Linked DNA regions of Mytilus edulis. The main gene of each other region encodes a partner of the protein of the gene in region 2 in a complex. Links are inferred from orthologs where the notes say so. Each region holds a gene or a part of one and is shown on either strand. Other genes may lie near its edges. The genes, in order: superkiller complex protein 3-like and superkiller complex protein 8-like.

Region 1 (12,493 bases), on a different chromosome or scaffold from region 2:
TGAATTAGTAATACAACTTTCATGGTGCTTCGAAATCAATATTTTTAAATAATGGTTCCCTTATGTCATATTCATGTAGAACATGTAGAAGTATAAAGCAGAAGTAAATTCATTTTAAAAACAAATGTATGCAAAAAATCCCCAAAAAGGATTTACCTATAAAACAGACCCTGCATTCTCAACATTTGATTAAACATTTACGTAAAAAATTTGTAAATATTAACCAAGTCTGGTGCTCAATTCATATTGCCAGTATCTTGTAATTGTATTGTTTAAAACTTACCAAACAGGCTAAAATCTAAACAAAGGCAACTTCTGTTGCCTGTTTGTGTGCTTGAACACTTACCTGCCATGCTAAAACCTGATCAGGAGCAGCTTCTGTTGCCCTTTTGTATGCTTTCTCTGCCTGATCAAACTGTTCCATTCCATCAGCAGCCACACCAACAAACACCAAGGCATTATAATTATTCTTATCCTGTGCCAAAACTGTCTGTAAAGGTAAATAGTTTTGTGATAGGATTCTTAATATGTTACCTTCTTAATGTGATATGTCATCTATGAATTAGAATTTTAGAAAGAACACTCTGATATTTCTTACCCATGTTACCTTGACAGTACTAGTACTTCTTTGGTATATCCTAAGTATTGACATTGATTCTAACATATGATGTGCATAAATTTTGATAATTCATTTATCTATATTTTGAACTAAAGATTTCCAAAAGGAAGCTCCGGGTACTAATGGTTTTCTCCTCTTTGGTTAGGTTGTTGTCTCTTTGGCACATTCCCCATTTCCATTCTCAATTTGATATTGACATTTGTTTTTCCTTTTAATACAAAAAAATAACAATAATCTACATTGACACTACATAAAACTTCATCCTTTTCAAGGAATTAGAATATCCTTTGTATCTATTTTACAATCAAAGAGCTGAATAGCTCTGAGGGGAAAGACAGCCCTTGTTTCTATTTATTTTTGATACAATATTGAAATCAATTGTTGTTTAATGTAATTTTGTTTCCTTAGTTTAGGATTCAATTTGGACCAATGGAAGAGATCTGCATCTTCTAAATCTAAACATTCGATTATAGTTGATAGCTAATTATCTAAAATTTCACTGAATTCTGTCATTTAACAACAACTACAATATTTTTTGAAATCTTAATAGTGTACAACTGAACTGCAGGCAAGGGCCATTTTCCATTTTTTGTGACAGTAAACTTTTTTAATTTTTTCTTAAGAAAGTTAGGACTGAAAAATCTATTCAGTTTTAAATTTCAATTGATAAAGTTCCCAGTTACAACTCTCATCACAGGGATACAGGTACTAATAAAAAACAATATGATTGATGTAAACAGTGTGAAGCTTGTTTCCAAATCCTACATTTTGAAATATTTGTAAATCTCATGAATACATGTAAATAGGTTTAAACTACAAAATTTGTAATTATTTTTTTTCTGTTACCATAACAATGATTATGTTGGTACACAAAATTTAGTTTTAATGAAAGACTACTAATCATATGCTAAATGTCACATTTTGAAGTGTTTATTTTAGTGGATAATTACTCATCAATTGAGGTGCTCCTGAATTGGAGGAAGATGCTCAAAACAGAGTTTTACAGAAAAAAAAGGAAAAAAATGTTTCTCTCCCCAATCTCATGTATCCCCACGGACTTTGCTTACTTTGAAAGTTGTTGACCTACAAATTAAAGTATTGCACGTTGATGTTTGAATCATCTACAGCAAACATAATTATGTTTAAATTTAACAAATACCATTTTTTAATTAGTGCACGATCTTTGAGAATGATTCAAATAACCAGTGAAGGATATCCCTGCTTCTGCGTAGTGTGGCATCCCAACAATGATGTCACTATAAAATATAATGTAGGTTGGATATATTTAGAATATCTCGTCAGTATGATTTTTCCGGATTGTAAAAGAAACGTAAATAGTGTAAAGGAGAGCTCTAGATACGATAATTTCGCGAGAAACAGAAGGGAAATGTGTAAAAAAAGTGTTTAAAGTCAATCTATTCATTTGTGTGTTTCCTTCTCACCAATCTCAGTAAGATTTGTTGGGGGGGTTTCCACACTATAAAAACAAAATGAATGATGTGAGGGAATGTCACTCTGGTCAACCCCATAGGGGATTGACGGCTTGAAGCCGTCTTTCCCCCAAAAAATAAACCTAGCTCTAATATGTAAACAAACATGATATATACTTTCAATATGCATGATATGAGGATAAAGTTATAATTCCTACCTTGCAATGTTTGAGGGCTTCTTTAAATTGCTTTTCTCTGATACACTCTCTAGCATTTTTCAATGCAGTCTTTATTTCTTTAGTATCCATTTATCTGAGAGAAAAAATCCATTGCACTGATATAATAAAATGCTTCGCTGAGCGCAGCCTTATACATCTGCAGTCGTCCTGGTCAAACCCTGAACAGTTGGTGCATGTTTGGACACAATATTCAAGCTTGATACTGTCTGAATTTGGATTGTGATTAAATTTTTGATATAATATAGGTTTATGACACAAAATAAATGTGGTGAAAGATCTTAAAAATTGAAATGGGTTGAAATTTTTGTTTTAATTTTCAATTGAAGATTTTCCTGCTATTGCACAATACTGTGTAATTGAAGATGTGCTATTGCACAATATTGTCAATAGTGTGTTTTGAAAATTTCTTGTTATTGCGCAATACTGTGCAATAGAAGATTTCTTGCTAATGCACAAAACTGTGCTATAGTGCAATACTGTGCAATTGAAGATTTCTGGCTAATGCACAATACTGTGCTATAGTGCAATACTATGCAATTGGAGATTTCCTGCTATTGCACAATACTGTCCTTAATAATTTACACATCATATTTGGTGTGTAACTTCTGCCATATCAGTATTTTTTACTTTAATATACAATGCTATTGCACAATACTTTACTTAATAATTTACACATCATATTTGGTGTATGATGATGATGATGATCTTCTGCCATATCAGTATTTTTTACTTCAATATACAAATAAGAATTATAAATCAATGGAAAAATGGAAAATTTTAAGAAAAAAATAAAAATATGAAAATTTTTTACCTCCCCCTACCCACCCACCCCCAAAGGTTGAACCCCCATTTTTACTTAAACCCCTCCCCCCTTTCCAGTTATTACCCACAAACTCAATCCTAGCTTTCCCTTTGAGGTATGATACCTTGCTGTAGAATTTCAGAGAGATCCATTCACTTGACCTCAAGTAATTGTCTGGAAACAATTACCCTTAAACTCAATCCCAGCCTTCCCTTTGTCATATGGAACCTTGTGGTACAATTTCAGAAGATCCATAAACTAATACACAATTTTTTGTCTGGAAACTAGAAAAGTGCTTATTTTGACCCTTTTGGGTCCTAATTTTCCTAAACTGTTGGCACCATATAACCTCCAAAATCAATTCCAAACTTTCTTTTGTGGTTTCAAAATTTGTGTTTAAATTAAAGAGATCCATTCACTTAAACTGAAGTTATTGTCTGGAAACCAAGTGTCTTCAGGCAATGACGAAGACGACGTGATACCAATATACAAATGTAACACCACAAAAATTTTTGCGGTCCTAAAAATCCTGAGGCAAGCTTTACCTAATTTTAACAAAACAGGAAATCTTTTGAATAAACCCATCAGCAAAAATTGTTCCCTCTGTCCATTCCATATGAAATTAAAAGATTTTGTCTATTTTTATTATCGGTATATAGATAAATATTTTAATTATTTTTTGTTTGCGTCTTTTCTGTCTGGAATGGAAACTATCCATTTCCCAAGATGAAGCCAAAAAAAAGAAGACAGAAAAATATAAACTGATATACATGTACAAGTAGCTTGCCACTTACAGTTGGTGAAATTACAATGTCTTATAATGGTATCGTTTAGGTCAAACTTTTGTAAAAAATTAAAAAATCTTATTTCATTTACATGATTTAGGACAAATGTAGGAGAAAATTTTCTAAATTTATTCCAGACAAATAATTCAAAATTTCAGTAAAATATTTCAAAGTTGGCGAAAAATTTAATTTTTCAATTTTTATTTCAGAAAACGCAAATTTTATTGAACAAATCTTAAATATGAAGGAGCTAAAAATAAATTTCAAAGTTATTCAAAATTAAATATATTTGTTAAATTACATTTTAAGTTTGATGTCTTTTAAAAAATAACATTTAAATGCTTTTAAAATAACATGAATATTCAATAAAAATACGAGGAAACTGTTTTTTGGGGTACGTGTGTGTAGAGTGGGGTGCACATATTCGCCGGCAGCCTCAGTTCTCCAAAAGTGGTGGTCCTCAGGATTTTACCACCAAAATTTTGAATAGGACCAACACAATTTTAGTATTTTTCAATAGAATTAAAAGTGAGGACCAGCAGATTTTCAGCACTAACCACAAAGGACAGAAGAAGGAACAATGATTTTTGGCCAATTTTCTGAATCATCCAGCATGATAATCACGGAAATCACAATGGCTGCCATGTTGGATATACATGTACACACTAAATTTAAAATGATCTGTATGAACTTATCTGCTTTCTGTAAATCATTTTTAAGTTATAAAATACATCGATAATTCATTATTATTTAATAATCAATGTTTAATAGTCACCAATATGTGCTTATATCAAAATTTCAAGTGTTATTCGGTCATTACAAGTGTTATTCGGATAATAACAGTGTTATTCGGTCATTCGTGTTACCCCATATTGGGATACATATTGATGTATTTAATAACTTAAAATGATTTACAGAAAGCAAATAAGTTCATAAAGATCATTTTGAATTTAGTGTGTTCTTCCAACATGGCAGCCATTGTGATTTCCGCGGTCACCATGTTGAATGTACACACTAAATTCAACAAGTTCTTTATGAACTCATCTGCTTTCTGTAAATCATTATTACATTATAAAATACATCGATAATATACTATTATTTAATAATCAATGTTTAAAAGTCACCAATATCATATATCGGTGCTAATATTAAAATTTCTAGTGCTATTTAGTCATTACAAGTGTAATTCGGATATTAACAGTGTTATTCGGTCATTCATGTTACCCCCACCCCAACTCTATATTGGGGTAAAAACTTGCACCCTGTAATAATATCCCATTTGAGTGATTGGTCCCTACCTCACTCAGCTGGTAATCAAAATAAGTACATCTTCTTGTGTACGTTGGTTATATGCATTCCTGTTTTGAAGATAGGTGTATAAACTTGCACACTTCTCGAGACCACTCGGACAGAGTGATTTATTTTCACTTTCAGTTTCAATTTGTAGAACCGTAAAAACGTCATCAAACAGGGAAAAAAATGAAAGATCTTAAATTTATAGCTTACACAGTTTATAGAACTTCCAGAACTGCTGTATCTTTCATTACTTTTGTATAACCAAGGCTCGTTGTTTTAGTAAGACTACTGTAACTCCGAAGAGATGAAACAGTGAAAAAAGAAAAAAATGAAAGAAAAGAGGATTGAAGATAGGGGAGAGTAACGATGATGGATGGTCTGTATCTGTATATCTTTTTCTTCTCCCAATATAGACACACCTCCACTTCTACATCTACATCTACTTTTAATACTTCTTAACTTCAATATGTTGAAGATTACAAGAAGGCACATAATAGAGAAACAAATTAAAATCTTAACATATTTACAATTATTTCAAAAACATTTTTTTTTAGTAAATAGATAAAAACATGATTTGATTTAGCAATACATATGTGGTTTTGCACCAGACTTAAATCGGCTTCAAAGTCTGGGCTACAGGCTACTTGGCATCATGGTAAAGAATTCCACAACCTTACTGTTCTAGGAAAAAAATGAATATAAATGATAATTTGTGGGAGAGAATGGGTGTATGAATTTATGTTCTTTTGATGGTATTAGGTATTTATTGACTGGCCGATGGAAACTAATTGATGTTGAATTTTAATTAAGTGTATACCTGGCAGCTCTTCTCTGAACCATTTCAATTTTATGTATTTGTTGTTTCTGCCAGGGGTCCAAAACAACTACAGTATGCTTTTTTTGGTCTGACATATGTTTTGTAAGCCAGTTCTTTTGTTTTTATGTTGTCACGGTAGTTTTGACGTTTCTTTTAATAAATCTCAGTGATGCTTTTGCGAGGCTTTTGCTTTATGTGTGATGTTATTTATATGAGAATTCCATGTCAGATCGTTAGTGATGGAAACGCCAATACATTTTGCTTTGTTTGTTGATTTTAAAATATCATCATGTAATGTGTATTTATAGATGATTGGTTTATGTTTTCTTGTTATGTGGATGATTTCACATTTGTCTGGGTTAAAGGACAAAAGCCATTCTTGCTCCCATTGTTCCAATTTATGTAAGTCTGATTGAAAGGTGTGACAGTCAGCTAGTACACTTTTATAGTCCTTCAACCAAAATTAAGTGTTATATTGGAACTTTCAATTTTTCTATTGATAAAAATGAAGGCAGTGGCTATTTTGCCGGCTCCGGCAAAATAGCCTCTTGGGTGCTATTTGGGTGGCTCCGGCATAATACTAGCCTCCTTGCATTTATATAGAGTTTTGCTATTTTGCCAGTCTTATTTCAGATTTTTAATCATGACTATATGAATTTTTTTTTTAAAGAAAACTATCTAGCACAAATGATATATGTGGCTAGATGTCAATAACCTTTTATTCTTCGCCTTCTTCGTAGTCATTCAATTTTAGTGGATTGCGCTCATTTAATTTACATGTACTGTGTTTTTGTTAGATGTATGTTATTTGTATCCATCTGATAAGTTAAGTCTTTTTCAACAGATTTCTATAGTTCGTTCTTATGTTGTACTGTTACCACTGTCCCAGGTTAACATGTAATACTCCGCCACATTCTGTATGTATGTGCCTGTCCCAAGTCAGGAGCCTGTAATTCAGTGGTTGTCATTTGTTACATATTTTTTGTTTTCGTTCATTTTTTTCTTCTTCATAAATTAGGCCGTAAGTTTTCTCGTTTGCATTGTTTTACATATGTCATTTCGGAACCTTTTAAAGCTGACTATGTAGTTTGGGCTTTGCTCATTGTTGAAGGCAGTACGGTGACCTATAATAGTTGTTAATTTCTGTGTCATTTGGTCTCTTGTGGAGAGTTGTCTCATTGGTAATCATACCGCATCTTCTTTTTTATACATACATAAATTTTTGTTGAAAATTGAACGTTCGAAAATGGAAAACAACAAATTTGTTATCAAACAAACTTGATTTTCCACTGATATACCTGAAGAGCTACAGCCGGGTTTGGAGTACTTTGAAACGTAAAACGAAGACCTTAAAAAATCATGAAAGCCAGACAAAACTTTAATATAAATCTGAAGTCTATGGCACAAAAAAATATTATAAGGTAAATAAAAAAAAGTGTACACACGATGCATAGAAATCTAGCTATTGATAGCATTTATTCCATGAAATTTGAATCAAACAGAAACGTATATATCTGCAAATGTTGCAAAAGTGATGCAGACATTAAAGAATCAAGTGGTAGCACATTTCTGGTGCCAGACTTGCCAGACTTTAAAAAAAAAATCACCAAAAAGCAAGGCACTGGTTTTATATGGGTTCATATGCTTTCAATTGCTGATGTGTATTACATGTATATACATTTTTTAAAGAAATTGTTTTACCTCCTATTAATGAAAAAAGTACTAGTATCAATTTCAATATTTTACTTTTTAAAAAAGTTTTAAAGACATGTTTTTAGAGACTGAAGAATATCAATTTTAAAGTCATAAGAAAAGAGTGACCCGTGAAAAATAATGTTTATCCAATCCTTGAACCAATGCATGTATATGTTGTGTACAAGTTATCATTTTGTACAAATTGTAATTTGTACAAAAATATTGTACAAATTATAATTTGTATTTTGCCTTTGTACAAATTATAATTTGTACAAAAAGTGCCTGTACAAATTACAATTTGTACAAAATTTGACCAAAATTCACTTATAACTTGTACAACAGTTAAATATGAATTTTGGTGAAAAATGCATTGATTCACAGGATAGAATCCTGCTTTGCATGTTCATTTTCACTAATTTCTTATATCAAGTCAGGTTTTCTCGCATAAGAATCCTCCTAATGTTGAGCCAGCTGTCTCTTCCCATCCATAAGACGATGCTTTATTCATAGCGAGATGATCTTTAGCATCATGCCCAAAAGGCGTGGTAGGACTCCAGTTGAAGTATTTCATAAGCTGTCCATCATCGAACGCCCACGTGCCTTCCTTTGCAGAATCGTTTCCTTGGATGTATACTAAATTTTCGTTGTAGAAATCTGAAATGGAAAATTGTGTTAATTAATTGCTTGCTGTGTAGCTGTAAGTCTGTAGAAAATAAGATTGATATATGTGTATAAGGTAGAAATTATCATCATATAACAACCGTCCGGGGCCTTAAGAAAAAATGGGGATGCTCTAGATATTTCAAAAGATTATGCATACAACTAACACATGCTATCTTTAAAGTCAATTATCATTCCAATCATAAGTACTTGTACAAAGAAGAAGAGGTCCGGTGCTCGTTTCTCCCTTACTTAAATTTGGCACCAGCTAGTGTATCTATAATCATGAAATCGAGAAGTAAAATGTTCTTTACCCAAATATGTCATCAAATGAGTCTGTTGTAGTTGACTTTGGACTCTAATCAGTTGTCCGCCATTGCGACGACATGCAATGTCAGCTTCATACACATTTTTAAGATCGTCAAAGTATTGGTAACATAAGGAAGCTTTCCTGTTCTGGTTGAAACCATCCATAGGTGGACAAGTACCTGCAGAATATATATATATATAGAAAGCGAATTTGGTGGTACGATGTTAGCAGGGTTTCGGTAAATTATCAAGTTATGTTTTACAGAATGAAAACAAAACAACCTTCTGATACAGTAAGATTATATATCATAATAAACTGATATTTCCCTTTGGTAGAACATTGTAGAGGTGGCATCCGTAAAATTTTCGAAGGGATTTTTTACTTCCGTGTAAGCAGTAATTCTCTAACGGATAAATCATAGCAGGATATGCTAGCTCTTGGAATACCGTATTAACAGGGAAATTCATACTCAATATACAGGTGCTGCTGGAATGTTGCTACATAAAAATGGAAAAGTTCACAATCGGCAAGCTGAACTCATATCTCTTGTCATAAAGTTTTTTTCTCTACCAACTTTTTAAACTCCTTTAAAACATTTTGCAATGAAGTCAGCTTTCATAAACAGAAGATATAGGGCCTGAATGGTGATTTAAATTTCAATTTGTTGTCTTTATAAATAAAAAAAAAGCTATTATTATAATTTTTAAAAAGAAAACTCACTTTCATAAACGTTATAGTACCGCCAACCCATATCACCTTTCCACTTCCCATTATTTCCCGGGGTATTTACACTCATTAGTCGACATTCAGTGGTATTCTGACGGTAGAAATATGCCATACACGCTAAGTTCTGGAGGCAATGGAACGCACATTTTCTTATACTTTCCGTCTTAAATGTTCCGATAGAATTTTTATCCACGATTTTATTTGTTTGGTTTAAATTCTCCATAGCAAAAATCGAACTTATTCCTAACTGGGAACAATAAATTGCCCGGGTATACAGAATTGTCCATACTAGAATCGTAGTGATAGTCATCATTGCTGTCTAAGTATTGTTACTGTGCAGTTATACTGTAAAACGGCATGATCAACCGATTGTCATTTATCTGCCTTTCATGTAGAGGAATTGAAGTATTCACGAATGTTAAATGAAGGGAAGACTGCAAATTTTGTTTTAATCGCTCAACATAACGATGTTATTCCATCAATTAATTATAACACTCTGAATTATTGGTTTTTGTGGTACCTAATCATTATTTTCCAATACAAAGCGAATTTTAATTCATATACTGCACTCTCATCATCTTTTAACTTTTAGTCCTCATTTTAATTACAACCAATACACATCGTTGCATAGATAAACCTTTTATTATTACATGCACTTAAAATGTGATTGATTTTGCATTTAGGGTTGTTTCTTTTTATTTAGATACCGTAAATTGTTACTAAAACAAAAGTTTTATGTGAGCCGTTAATTCTCACGGTTTGATGCTGAAACTATGCCTGCTTAACACCAAGTGACAAGAATTTCATGCATTTCTAGGAAGAAATACTATACAGATGTTACATCCATTTAAAACATTCTATATTTATTTTCTAGTAGATTCAGAATTCAATTGTTTTACATTTGTCATTTCAGTGCCCATAGTTTGCTATGTAATACAGTGTTTCCTCAATGTTGACCTATAGCCCTTAACTTCTACAACATACCACATCTACATAATTTTGAATAATTAATAATGTGAGCCTCCAATAAAATACATATCAATTTTGTTTTGGAAATGTGATATTTCTTGTCAAGTATTACCATGTTTGTTCTTTGAAGAGCTACTACATTTGTAGAATTTTGTTTTAACATTTGTGTTTAAATAATATTTTTCTTCAACAAATGCAAGCGCATCAGTTCTTTTTACACACTGCACACCTGGATCTTAATGGATTTTCAGGTATGGCCACCCTTAGGCACCCTACAACATAATATATACTCATGACTTAAATCTCTTTTTTGAAAATTTGGCCTTTTTGACCTATTGTTGATTGTGTCCTGCTGTTCATTTTTGCTTTTTACATTTTCTATCTTAATTACTGTTATTTCAGAAAACATTTTTGATAGAAATGGACAGTACATTTTAAACATTTCTGCCCTGTCAGACTTTCTCCATCTATAGCTGTTAAAAATAATTAACAAACTTCCATTTACCCATATATAAAAAAGAAGATGTATGATTGCCAATGAGATAACTCTCCACAAGAGACCAAATGACACAGAAATTAACAACTATAGGTCACTGTACGGCCTTCAACAATAAGCATAGCTCATACTATTGTTTATATTTCTAGCCATGTTCACAATGTTAGTTGGCAGACAGAACCATTTGACAAAAGATATAAACTAGATACCTAAATGATGGCTATGGCCATTTTGCCCAGCATTTGCCAAATTATTCACTAACTATTAACAAGAGTGCACACGCTGAAATGTCTCGCCTTCTATACTAATCATTGATATTATGTTGATAGTCCTAAGCTAAGCTTTATTACAACTGTCACATAAACTTAACATTAACCAAGATAACTAAACAAAGACCAATGAACCTTGAAAAAGAGGTCCAGGTCCGATGAACCATGCCAGGCAGACAGGTACAGCTAACAATGCTTCTATACAACATATATAGTTGACACATTACTTATAGTTTAAGAAAAATAGACCAAAACACAAAAACTTAACACTGTGCAATGAACCATGAAAATGAGGTCACAGTTAAATAAAACCTGCTCGACTGACATAAAGATCATAAAATATTTCCATACACCGAATATAGTTGACCTATGGCATATAGCATTAGATAAAAAGACCAAAACTCAAAAACTTAACTTTGACCACTGAACCATGAAAATGAGGTCAAGGTCACATGACATCTGCCCGCTAGACATGTACACTTAACAATCATTTCATACAACAAATATAGTAGACCTATTGCATATAGTATGAGAAAAACAGACCAAAAAAACACAAAAATTTAACTATAACCACTGAACCATGAAAATGAGGTCAAGGTCAGATGACACCTGCCAGTTGGACATGTACACCTTACAGTCCTCCCATACACCGAATATACTAGCCCTATTGCTTATAGTATCTGAGATATGGACTTGACCACCAAAATTTAACCTTGTTCACTGATCCATGAAATGAGGTCGAGGTCAAGTGAAAACTGTCTGACAGACACGAGGACCTTGCAAGGTACGCACATATCAAATATAGTTATCCTATTACTTATAATAAGAGAGAATTCAACATTACAAAAAATTTGAGCTTTTTTTTCAAGTGGTCACTGAACCATGAAAATGAGGTCAAGGACATTGGACATGTGACTGATGGAAACTTCGTAACATGAAGCATCTATATACAAAGTATGAAGCATCCAGGTCTTCCACATTCTAAAATATAAAGCTTTTAAGAAGTGAGCTAATGCCGCCGCCGTAGCCGCTGTCGCCGCCACCGGATCACTATCCCTATGTCGAGCTTTCTGCATCAAAAGTTGCAGGCTCGACAAAAATGAATAATCATTAGGAAGGATTACAAACTAGTTTTACGGTAGGATACAGAATCATCTATATAGATATGATCTGGAAGACAGAGAAACACGCACAAAAAAAGGTCTTCTCATTTAGTATTATGGATAACTGTATAAATGAAGCAATGGTAATAGCACTATATATTTTTATTTGTGATAAATAATAGCATATAAATTCTATGCTTTATAAATTCAACATCTTAGAAACATACTTAACATGAAATAACAAAAATACAAGCATTTAAATTGGCGTGCTTCACAA
Region 2 (12,548 bases):
GTCTACAGAAACAACACCAAGCTGATGTCCTTCTAAGGCATGTCGTAGATCTAATCTTCCGTCTGTCCTGTAAAATAAGAGAAAATGAAATTATCATCCAAAAGGTTAAAAAAAATTAAATATGTAAATTGTAACATATATATATTAAGGGTGTTCGCTTCTCTTGTTTTTTAATTGTTGTCAGATTTTCAGAACCCTCTGGTTTTATCCATTTAGTACTATCAAAATGATTTACCCACTATCCCCTACTTTTCTTTTCGTAATTTGATTACATTTTAAAATGTCTTTTTTGAAAATCTTATAAAATCCTTACCATTTTTTCATCATTTTTCAAAGAAAAAGACGCCAATGTTAAGTGTATGAAAAATCTAGAGAGAATCACTTCCCACCAAATTTTCAAAAGCTTATACTCAGAAAACAACCAAACTGAACCTTTATTTGTTCCTGCTTTTTAGGTTCCTTTATTTCAAAACTAACAATTAATTACAAGCTTTTTATTTTGAAACAAAGTAACCAACAACCTTAAGAAATCTCATGTGCAACTCAATATATCAGTGGCCACATTTTCTAGAAGTATGTCATCTGCAAACATTTCACTGATCATTTAAATGCATATTGTACAACACCTGAATCTTAAATAACCAATTGATCCAACTTTAATTTTAGTTCTTTAATATGTTTATGAGTTTAGTGTGACTTGAACTTTTCACTGAAAATTTGTGTTAAGCATGTTTAGGGGCCACCTAAGGCCCACCTCCATGTATGGAATTTTCTCACTGTATTGAAGACAGATTAGTGGCCATAGGCTATTTTTTGTTCCTTTGTCGGGTTGTTGTCTCGCAGACACATTCCTCAATATTATTTTAGAATATACATATTTTCAAATATATAAGTTTCAAATTCCTTGTATTATTTTTTTTACAATTAAAAATATATATAAAAGTGTAAATAAAAATATGATATTACAGATAAAGTTAATCTTAAATAATAATTTTACCATCTCCATATTTTGACGAGATCATCTATTCCCCCTGTTATAATGTTCTCAGATCCATCTGTTTCATTTTTCTTCCAAGCACAACTCCAAATACTGTCTTCATGTGCTATAAAATAACAAAATTATTATAAGCATCATTGAAGGTGGTTACGGTGGTACCCAACACTTTGACTGTTATTAATTTGGTTCATTTAATTTTCATAAAGTGTTGACAAAATGTTAACTTTGACCCCTTGACAAAAATATAAAAATTTTAAAAAATTTGAACTAACCACTTTATCAGAAAAAAATCAGTTTATGTAGCAGTTTGACAAACACTATTTTTCATCACTGAGAAGCTTAATATTTCCTTAACCAGGTTAACAATAAAATGTTGAACTCATTTTTACTGAGTTATCTCCCTGTAGTGTTAGGTACCATCTTAAATTCAATTGTTAACATTTACCATGATTTTTGTCAGATAATTGGAATCCTTTGGTTTTATCCATTTTGTTCCATTACAAACTTTGTCTGCTAAAACCTACTTCTCGTTTCTTTACTTTATAGCATATATCACGACGTATATACTTAGTTTAAAATCTTATAAAATCCTTGTGTTCTTTTCATACAGTTTTTTGAAAGAGAAAAGGTGTTTTAAAATTAAATGAATGATAATACTAGAGATAATCATTTTCCACCAACTTTTCATGGCTTACATGTATATCTTAAAAATATGCATACAGACCTTAATTTTTTTCTGTTTTTTAGTTCTGATTTATATATTTGTGTTGCTTAATCTTCAGTTTTCTATTTTGTGTCTTGTGTAGTGTGTACTAACTACTTATCTGTTTGCCTTTTTTCTTTATTAGCCATGGCGTTGTCAGTTTATTTTTGATTTATGAGTTTGACTGTCTCTTTGGTATCTTTCGACGCTCTTTTATCATGTTTATAAATATATATGTACTCAGATTTTATAGAAGTCTTTTGAAACATTGTACTTAATGAAATTCATTAGTGATAGAAAGTTATATCTGATTTGTGAATTAACAATGATTAAACTCACCTTGTTCCTGTTTGAATATCAGGGAATACTACAAAGATTAAAAATAATTAGGTTAACAGGAAATATTATTTTATCATGTTTTTAGGTCAAATGTCATGTGCTCAATTTTGTTTAAATATCCAACTTTTGATGGTTGGTGTGAATGCCAGTGAAAAACCAGAGAGCTACGTTTTAAATTGTTACAGTAAACATGGTAAAATATAAATCAACACAAATTTATCTAATTCATTCAAGGTAATGTTATTAATCTTGAGCCTATTAAACCTGCTGTATATTTTATAATACTTAAGTCTTTTGTTGGTGTGGTTCATAGGTGTTTTGCTTTCCTTGTTCTGTATATAGATAAGACAGCTGGTTTTGTGTTGACATTGTTTTACAGTCAACGACAGTGGTCATTTTGGTGACCTTTATAGCTTTCTGTTTATTGTATATATATATGCATGATATGTGAGCATAAGTGTTTTGTTCAACATGTTCAAACTTCAAGGTAGTAGTTTGACCTGTAATTTTTAATTTAAAATACATTGGCACTCTAACCACACCTTCTTATTTTTTATCATTACAAAAATGTGGACTTTTTTCAAGTAATCCGAACCATGATTTCTGATTCTAACATGCTAACGGGCTACAAATATATGCTATTCCATCTGCTTTGCTTTGTTATATTTCATTGCATTTCGGTATATTTTGTTTTGATTCCATTTCTCACTTTATAAATATCGGGAAAAATCATCTAAACATTTTAACATGTTTAATAAAATAAAAAAATCTCTTTCAACATGTTCAAAGACCAAATGAAAAAAAAAGAGTTTGGCTTTATGACTTTGCAGGTAGGCGTCAAAGCAAATATTAAAATAGTCTTTATTACAAGACGTCATAATTATTTGGACTAGTAAACTAGGGTATTAAAACTTGTGGAACTCATGTACACAATGACATTGTCAATGTGCTGAAAACGCTTTTAAAAAAAAAACTTTAATAGGCCAGTTCCCGGGATACAGTTTTCAGACGAATCTGTCATGTGACTTTCATCACCACCTGACAAAAATGTATGCATAGAAATTTCCAGCACATGTTGAGCAAACGGGTGAAAAAGTCTTATTTTATATTGCACAAAATATTTGGGAAATTAAAATCTAAAAGGATGGTCACCCTCACTCAATCCTATGGCAATCACGATTTATATGTACTTACAGAACATTAATTATTTCTATACTACCCTACAGAATGACGATTATGAAAGTGCTGGAAACTTTTTATAGACAGGGATGCAGGCGCGCCTTCTATCTGCAGACTACGCGAATGAATTTTATTTTTACAGGACATTCGGTCTGGTAAGCATCCTAGCTTTACCAGACCGAATGAAATTTTACCAGACCAATTTTTTTTTACATCTAATTGTATATTATCCGACAAAAAACAACAAACATATGACTTTGTTGTGCCGGCCTACTCCTCACCAAAATGCACAAATTAAAACAAAATGATGTAACAAGAGGGGATATTGTTATGAAAGTTGTGCACAATTGCTTGAATGCATTTCAGTGAAGAGTAATGTCCCATTTTATTGGATTTTGACAATGTTTGTGAACTAAACATAATTTAGAGTTTCTGTATAAAATATTATTTTTTGTTTCTTCTTTCTTTTTCATATATCTTTTGGTTTTCAATTCTTGTGGTTATATTTCATAGCTAAATTTTGTGATCTGCTTGGATTTTTATTCATTTATTGTATTTAAATCGGCAAACCCGGAATTATCCTTATCCGTTCCCAGAATCTGATCCGGTTTTATTTGCATTTCCGGTTGTGCCAATGATGGCATCCATTGTTGTTTTTGACAGTCAGATATGTTTTTACCCGGATTTACACATTACTGGTTGTCGATGTTCGGCATAAAGCTAGCGGTTGAACAAAATAAACATCGCTGTGATGAATAATAAAGATGAAAATGAATTTGAGATTGTTTGGCAATTTTGCTAGAATGTTCCATGAAAAAAAAACACCGGACATTCGGACCGGAATTCAACAAAATTTTACCAGACCGATCCATTATTTACCGGATTTGTCCGACGGTCCAACGTATTTCGTGTAGTCTGTATCTGGTAAATGACGTCATAAAGGCATGCAAAATTGACGATCTTTTCCGGTGGAAGACATGATTCCAGAAATGACCTGTATGTGGGTCTCATTGGGGTTTAAGCATGATATTATTCTAGAGTGATTTTCTGATTTATCAATTACTTTGTTCTTTTTTTATCGTGTTTATTAACAGCCACACCAGCTGTTCTCCACAAATTCATCTAACTCATTATTAGCCTATGTACATAGTTTTAATCACCTTTTTAAAAAAGTTAAATTACGCACCTCAAATTTATTTCCATATATTTTTGTCTTTGTCTTTGTAAATATATATATAGGCCACGCTGCGCGCGCAAACAGTAAATAATCTTCAGATCATTGAAGGACTACTGAAAACCTAAAGAAGAAGAAGCCACTGACACTGTGGATGATGTGGAGCCTGGAGGAGAGAAAAAGAGTAATGACACTATGTCAACAGTAAGGATCTGAGTAACAGTCACTTAACTGATTCATCCGGTGTGTAGTTAAAAGCAATATACGAATGATCTTTAATTGTCTATAATATAAAAGCAATTTCTTTTCCTTACCAACTGATTCGCCATCCCGTTGCCGGTGGCTGTGTAGTCAATAGAATGTTTTGTTTCCCATTCGGTTTTACTGTTAGATTAAACGCGCACCTGTCTAAGATAAAAATTTATAGTCTCTAACAAAATATTGTTTTGTTAAATTCTTGATTTGATCTGTTAAATTACATTTATATAACAGTTATTACTATAAAATTATTATTAAATAAAATATGATATATTTCTCTTTAAAAATATATACATCTATAAAATATTTATAAATTTTTTAATTTGGTTTCAAGACTGTTTACAAATGGCGACCGTAGATGTAAACAAATCAACAAAACTATAGACATAAACCTTTTTTTTCTGTCCAATACATTATATTGTACGTTATCGTTTACAATCATTAGTATTCATACACAAGTAGCACTTTATTCAGGAACAATTATCATTAATAGTTTCCTTTGACCAGATGTCGATTTAACCAGGGTCCGATTTGACTATAGCTAGCTTTGTGTATTTTACTATTTAACCCCTTCTACACTAGAAATACACGCAGCACGTTCTAGTTCGGCTCTGTTATGAATACGGGATCTGCTCAGACTCCTGTCGTCCTGAGTCCCGTACAATTAATCAAGATACCTTGGCACCAATAAAATGGGTGCCAGGCAATTCAGCATCAGCAAAAGACCTCATGGGCTAAATACCAGAGAAAGACAATTTGGTATCAAGACAAATCGGCACCGCATAACACTTCTGTTAGTCCGAGATTACTCTGAAGTCCAACAGACAAGATGGGCCTTGGAAGTCGGGCCTGTCCCATATTTTATCAAAAAGTGGATATTCGCACATCCAACATAGATGTGCTGCTTCATCGCTTCTGGTCCCGGCTAAAGGACTTGGAATTATATTATTATAAATCAAGTATCAATTTGTTCATTCTTCAGTTATCTCTTCGTTTATGTAAGTTTCATCTTCCTACCAACCTTTATTTTCTCATATTTAGACAGTTCTCACAGCAACCCATCGATTCAGACATTTTTACTTTTATTTTCAAATGGATGTCAAGTGATGAGAGACTTCACTGTCTCAAGACTGAAGTATGCAAATATTTATGCTAATTTTGGTATTCTGTATATTTCTTCACCCCCTTTATAGGAGATCGGTATTAAACACTTATAGTAGCCAACATTGATAACAATTGGAAGAACTCGGACATTTACCTTACTTGCATTGTAAATGAACGAGGTGTCAGATTATGTACATGTATTCATATCAACCTAGGGTCAATTGCATAAATCAGCTCCCATAACCCATTGTTCCTTACTTTTTCTCTTTAATCACATGACAATCTTTCAAAATGAAAGTTAAAATGCCTGAATCGATGGGTCACTGTAAAAACTGTCTAAATACACGTATGAGAAAATAAAGGGTGGCAGGTAGAAGAAATATTCATAAATGAAGAAGGAACAAATTGATACCTGATTTATATAATTCCAAGTTGGTTAGTCGGCACCAAAAGTGATGAAGCAGCGCCTCTACTTTGGACGGGCAAATATCCACTTTTTAATATGGGACGAGTTCTGACGTCCCCAAGCCCAGCTTGTCTGGCCAAATATAGCATTTGGACATCAGAGTAATCTTGGATTACACTTCGGTTTATATTCCACTATGAGGGTCGTAATGACCTTCATGACAAATGATGGTTTAAAATTTTTATAATACTAATAGTTGGTATCAGCTATTGAAGGGACAACCAACTTGCTATTATTACCAGTCTTTAGGTGTTTTATTATACAAAATAAATAAACTTTCTAAAATTCAACGTTCATAATCTAAAAGAAAACTAAAATGTCAAATAAACATGCCCAAAATTAACTATAATTTATTTTTAAAGTCTGTGTTGCATTTGTAAATATTTCATTTACTACAATCAAGACTAGGAATACTTGAGTTAAGATTTCTGTGCAGCTCATAAATTGTAGCTAAATAAGGCTAAAGTACATCAAACACAACAGTTTATAAAGACGTCGACAAACCCATATACATTTATTATATTTTAGATCTTTTAAAAATGTGTCCCGAAGATTTTCTTTCTCTTTTAAATTTGCTTCTGGTTAGTAATATCATGAATATGTTAATTTGAAATTACGACAGACACAAGCAGCAGTCAGTACCCCTGACTGAACAGATTATACCATTTACGATATATTAGAGTTTGACATTGCCAAGCGTACAAACCCATGCAGAATAGTTTATGACATCATTATTGTCCAATGAAAAATAAGTAAGGGAAATATAATTATAAAACTATTAACCAGGGTAATAGTTTTTGAAACCATTGACTAGCAAATAGTCTATGGAATGAAATAACACATCTTTTTCATTCTTTTTTATATAAACATACTGATCGACAATGATCGAGGTACATGTATAATAATAATTTTTGTTGCATGACAATAAAATGTACACTTTCTTTTTAAGACAATGTTCATTATGTGAGAACTCTGACAATATATATCTCAATACTAAAAAAGGATAATCTGATGAATCACATTAAATTTTGTAACTATTTGCCGAAATTGACCGTTTGTTCCTACAAAAAAGCACAGATTTTAGTAGCCCACACCATTTTTTAGGGAATATTGGCTAAAGGGTTCCTGCTTATTTCAAACCCTTCCTTCTCCTTTTAATTTCTAACTAAATATTAATTTGGAAATTTTAGAAAGTTAATTAGCAACATGCATTCAGAAGATTCTGATGACGATATGAATGTAGGAGCTCCCATGATGGTGGAGGTCAAAGGTCATAGTAGAACACCACGGCAACATTCACAAAGGTCACTTCACAGAGATTCAGATTCAGATGAAGAGAACAGGTGAGTGCATGTATCTAAAATTAGTAATTTAGATAAAAATGTGCAGCACTACAGAATTCATGAATTTAATAAGATTTGGAATGGAAATGGGGAATGTGCCAAAGAGACAACAACCCGACCAAAGAGCAGATAACAGCCGAAGGCAACAAAGGGGTCTTCACTGCAGCTAGAGTATCCTGCACCCTGATGCATGCTTTAGCTATTACAAAAATATATCGATGTAATATATATGCTTAATATCCAAGATGATGTTTCAATTGTCAAGAAAATTACATAACTTTTGTAAGGTGCAGAAATCTAACATCTGTTCTAAAAATATAAATGATGTCATTGAATTTGTTAAAGTCATCTTTTAAGAATTGGAGTTATCTTCCTTTGTCTAGAATTGCTATTAAATCAACTACAACCAATACAATAATTAATTGTACTTCCATATCATCAGCATATGATAAATTGAAACAATCTTTTCCAGTCAGTGCCACCAAGCACTTTGATTAATTTTTACAAATTATTCTCCAGATATGAAGATGACTATGAGGATGATATGACCACAGCTAGATCAGGGAGGACAACAAGTAGAAAGAAAAAGCCTGGGAAGAATGGTCGTCATGGGATAGATATGACACCACCTGACAAACTTCTCAAACAGGCAGTTAAAAGGATTGGAAAATTCAGAGAAAATGAAAAAGTATTAATTATTTTGATTAAATTTCTGCCAAAAAAATGCTTCATTAATATCTACTGTATATTCAGAATGTATTGTGTGCATTTATTATGGCGATTTTATCATTTTAGACTAAGATTTTAAATTTTGCGATATTCAGAAAAATCCTTTTGATACATATAAAAATTTCAGAATGCAAGTTTTAATTTTGTAAATGCAAAACTCACCCTGTCCCATTATAAGTATTTATAAAATCATAGCAATAAAATTTGAATTTACAGAATATCATCTCTTTAGCAAAATTAGCTTGTTTTTATTGAGATATTTGACATGATTAATATTGAACATGTTAAATGGATATTCCAGCATTCAAGTATGAAAAAAAATTGGAAGAAAAGTTTGGTCTGATTTATAACAATAAGTTAAAATTTATGTTTTGCAAGCTTACTTATCATGAAACTCAAAACTTTCACATGCTTAGATTAATTAGTAATGATTTTCATCTAAATTTAAGGGCAACATAGGGGCTCACAGACTTTAATAAATGATAATTTTATTCTTACAATTTTAGCATGATGAAGCTATCAGAGAACTGGTGCGATGCATAGCACTTACCAGGATTGTTTATGGTGCTAATCACTGGAAGTTAGCAGAAAGCCATGCTGATCTGGCCGAAGCGTATCTAGATCTTAAAGGTGTGATTATTCTGCAGGTTTAAGGTTTTATGCTTTTAAGAAATGAATGCTTCTGTTTGTAATTTTATTGGGGTGTAAAAGAGTTGACAGTAGGACATTAAATGATGATTGTAGTACAACCCAACCTCTGTTTTGGGATTGCAATTGTTTTTTTAATGTATGTGTCTGTTGTGAATTCTTCCCCCTGGTTTTGTGATATTAGCTCAGAAATTGAATTAAATCAGGATTCTTAGTTATAACTTGGAAGACCAGAAATGTCAATAATAGAAAAATATTAAATGGTTTATTTTTGGACAGGAATAATAAAGATTCAGTGCTTTTCGGGAATTTGTTATAAAAAGTTAAAAAAAAACGATAATTTTGAAGTCACAATTATTTCCAAATATAAAGCATATAAAAGAACACTAAATTTAAATTTTGGATTTTTTATACATATCTTGAAATAAATTTCAATTTCATGTTTCTTCCATTTTAGGATTAGCACCACAAGCAGACTACCACTCAGAATCAGCCAAAACCATCATGTTAAACACAGTTGCTACCTACACAACGGAACAAGAAAAAGCAGACGTCATCTTCATTTTGTTTAAGATTCATCATACTCAAGGGAGAGCACTCACAGAAATGAAACAGTACTCTGACGCAGAGAAGGCTCTGTCGAAGGCAGATAGGACCTGTCATGATTTCAGTCGGTTGACGTGTGTCAGTGATGATGAATGTGACGAGATGGAGATTAAATACTGTCATGCTACCGCTAGGTTTGTAATTTGCATTTAAATAGGAGAAATGTCTAGAGTTTTTTTTTATTCTTGGCTGTTAGCAGCCATAGTATCTGTCTGTACACTTACTTTAACTGCAAATATTTCTGCTTCTTTAAGAATCAGTTCTTACCATTTACCTCCCAGTGCATGTTTCTTTAAATTCTTTAATTAATGACAGTTTTCCCATCACACTTGCACTGTGTGATGGCGACAGTTCAAACGACAGGTCTTATAGTTAAGATTCCTGCATACTCTAAAACATTGACTAATTAGAGCAGCGGAAGACAATATTTCAATAGCAGTTCATTTATGAAGATTTTGATAATGTTCTTGATTTTCTTTACAAGAAAGTTCACATGCACAATTTGCTTTTCATTAAAACTTACTATTCAAGTACCGGTTCTGTATATAAAACATATTTGACTGTCTTTTTTTCAATTTTGAAGTTCATATGACATTAAGTTTTTATCTGTAACTTTTTATATTCAATTATGTACATGTACTAACATATATACATTGCATGTAGTACTGTAGATTCAGAAATTATTGTGCATTCATCATTTCGATTTTTGAAGAATGGAGTGGAGATTAATTATTGTGAGTTCATGAAATGTTCACTAAGAGTTCATATTATTGCAATGGTCACCCAGCCATATTATTTGCATTATTAAAAGCCTCAAAATAATTTCTGAATTTGCAGAACTGTGGTTTGATTTATCTTCATATTTATTCCCTAATAAGGAATGTTTACATTTTCATGGATATTTAATTTGGTGTTATTTTTACAAAAGTTTGCAAACAAGCTTATACAGAAAATTTGTCATTGATTTAAAATTTAATTTTGCGGTTTACCTATACACACAAAAACAAATAAAATGGTATTCAAAGTATAATAATGAATCCACAGTAATTGTTTACATAATGTAATGTATTCTACAGATTATACTGGAAACAGAAGAAGCATGCCAGATCAGCCGCCCAGTTTGATAAACTATTAGACTTAATGAAGAGACAGTATGGACCTGATTCTATGGACCTTGTTCCTATTTATCAGGAATATGGCAAAATATCCTTTTATTTATGTTATGAAAAGTCCCCTTTTTTAAATGGTTTAATACATAGATAAACTATTAAAGTTGAGGAACAAAGGAATTAACCAAAACAAAAACAAAAGTCAAAATAAAAAAAAGAAGGAAAGATCAAGTATAATAGAGAAATACAAAATGCATGAGCCTATTCATATATAAAAACTAGATTGAGGTGTCTAAAAAAAAGAAGATATCAACATCTGGTATGATTGCCAATGAAACAAGTATCCACAACACACCAAATGACACAGAAATTAACAACTATAAGTCACTGTACCGCCTTCAACAATGAGCAAAGCCCAAACTGCGTAGTCAGCTATATAAAATGTGGTGTGTTTGTTCTTGATTATCTCTTATATGTGTAAAATGCTCCAAATGACTCTTGAAACTATTATTTGTTAGCCATTTTAGTATTATAAGAAAACTGTGATTAATTTGTGTAACATAACCAAATGAACTCTATTGAAATTTGAGATATTGATAAAAAAAAAAAAACTGGAGAAAAAAGATGTGCATACATAGTACAGGAAATGAATTAATTACACCAGAAAAGGTTATATACTGTTACTGCTAACTTTCCTTAACAAGTATAAGTAGAATTGAGCAAAGGAAAATATGCCAATTATGACAAAGCCACAGACCTGTACCTACAGTCTCATACTATAGCTGGTGCTAAGTAAGTTTACAGTTTAACCTTGCTCATGACTGTTTAGGATGAGGTAACAAAATTCTAGTAAAATTGACAAAATTGAGTACCACAATGTATTCCTATTTCAGGTTAATATAAATACAGGTTTTTTTATTATTCATAAACAAAAAGTACATTTAGCAATTCATTCTCACAACACTTATTGAAATGATTGTTATTTTGAAAAATACAACTATAGAGGGCTGTTTAGTGGGATAACTGACAGCAGCTTTGATCATGGATCGTTTCTTATATTATAAAGTGAAATTTTTGCTTAATTTAATCTAAATTGATAAACATTTTCTGTGTTCAATATTAAAAAGAAGATATGGTATAATTGTCAATGAGACAACTCTCCATAAGAAATTAACAACTATAGGTGACTGTATGGCCTTCAACAATGAGCAAGCCCATACTGCATAGTCAAGTTGTTATTCATTTAGGACAGGAACAATACAAAAATAAAACCTTACTAATCTGTTTGACATTTGAAATCGGAAAAGTTAGTCTATGCAAAAAAGTCTTAATATTACATGTATTGTATATATAAAGGACAACTTATAATATTGTAAACTTTTTTATGTTCTAAGAAAAAGAATGCTGACAAAAATAGAATAGCAAAAATTGAGGAAAACACATTACATTAAGAAAGTATTTAAGGTTTCTAAGTAAAAAGGAAGTTGACAGATAAAATAAAGATTATAAATATAAAGACAAAATAAACTTTTGTTCTCTCATCCATTGATTATATATCTCAATATTTTAGTTATCGTGAAGGTAGTACTAAGATGGTCGACACAGGATTAGCGCTAGCCCAGGCATACATCAGTACTGGGAAGGAGGAAGCTGAAGACCTAGCTGAGAAGTACCTGAATGAATGTCTAGTAACATGTCAGACAGGGTACGGTCCACAACATAAAAAGACAATAGAAGTACAGGATGAACTGGCTAGGTTACTTATACGAACAGATAGACAAGAGGTAAGTGTCTTGCTAGGGCTATTCCATTAAAATGTATGCGGAAGGGTAGGAAGAGAAGTTTAATTATTGAAAAATAATTGAATTACCATTATGCAAATTATCTAAAAAA

Evidence for each region.
Region 1: the proteins of superkiller complex protein 8-like (region 2) and superkiller complex protein 3-like are in contact, whole or in part, in a cryo-EM structure (PDB 7QDS), measured with the Homo sapiens proteins. The link is inferred for Mytilus edulis from reciprocal best matches to the Homo sapiens genes SKIC8 and SKIC3. Residues at the interface, in NP_001290176.1 of Homo sapiens: Asp16, Asp17, Trp20, Leu40, His63, Gln64, Leu65, Gly66, Leu84, Ala86, Gly105, Pro106, Val107, Trp110, His126, Lys149, Phe150, Glu187, Gly188, Ala190, Arg194, Asp201, Gln203, Tyr213, Asp218, Val219, Gln220, His221, Asn223, Leu224; in NP_055454.1 of Homo sapiens: Lys649, Leu688, Gly690, Lys691, Tyr695, Asn960, Pro963, Val967, Asn970, Lys971, Glu974, Gln994, Leu995, Lys997, Glu998, Ser1226, Asn1227, Lys1230, Lys1252, Leu1256, Lys1257, Gln1260, Lys1261, Ala1263, Leu1264, Leu1265, Pro1267, Trp1273, Lys1295, Arg1296.

The regions. Positions count from the first base shown.
Region 1 is NC_092347.1:76,707,297-76,719,789, forward strand, and holds the start of superkiller complex protein 3-like, read right to left. Parts: upstream 5,565-12,493; 5' UTR 5,382-5,564; exon of another isoform or gene 5,174-5,381; intron 2,362-5,173; 5' UTR 2,358-2,361; coding exon 2,268-2,357; intron 491-2,267; coding exon 347-490; intron 1-346. Other genes in the region: galactose-specific lectin nattectin-like, read right to left, coding at 8,114-8,337, 8,658-8,831, 9,374-9,602. UniProt on the Homo sapiens protein: Component of the SKI complex, a multiprotein complex that assists the RNA-degrading exosome during the mRNA decay and quality-control pathways.
Region 2 is NC_092354.1:39,860,103-39,872,650, reverse strand, and holds the start of superkiller complex protein 8-like, read right to left. Parts: upstream 4,822-12,548; 5' UTR 4,722-4,821; coding exon 4,707-4,721; intron 2,068-4,706; coding exon 2,040-2,067; intron 1,104-2,039; coding exon 998-1,103; intron 68-997; coding exon 1-67. Other genes in the region: tetratricopeptide repeat protein 23-like, read left to right, coding at 5,343-5,443, 7,411-7,563, 8,083-8,251, 8,799-8,922, 9,398-9,680, 10,623-10,765, 11,366-11,447, 12,226-12,439. UniProt on the Homo sapiens protein: Component of the PAF1 complex (PAF1C) which has multiple functions during transcription by RNA polymerase II and is implicated in regulation of development and maintenance of embryonic stem cell pluripotency.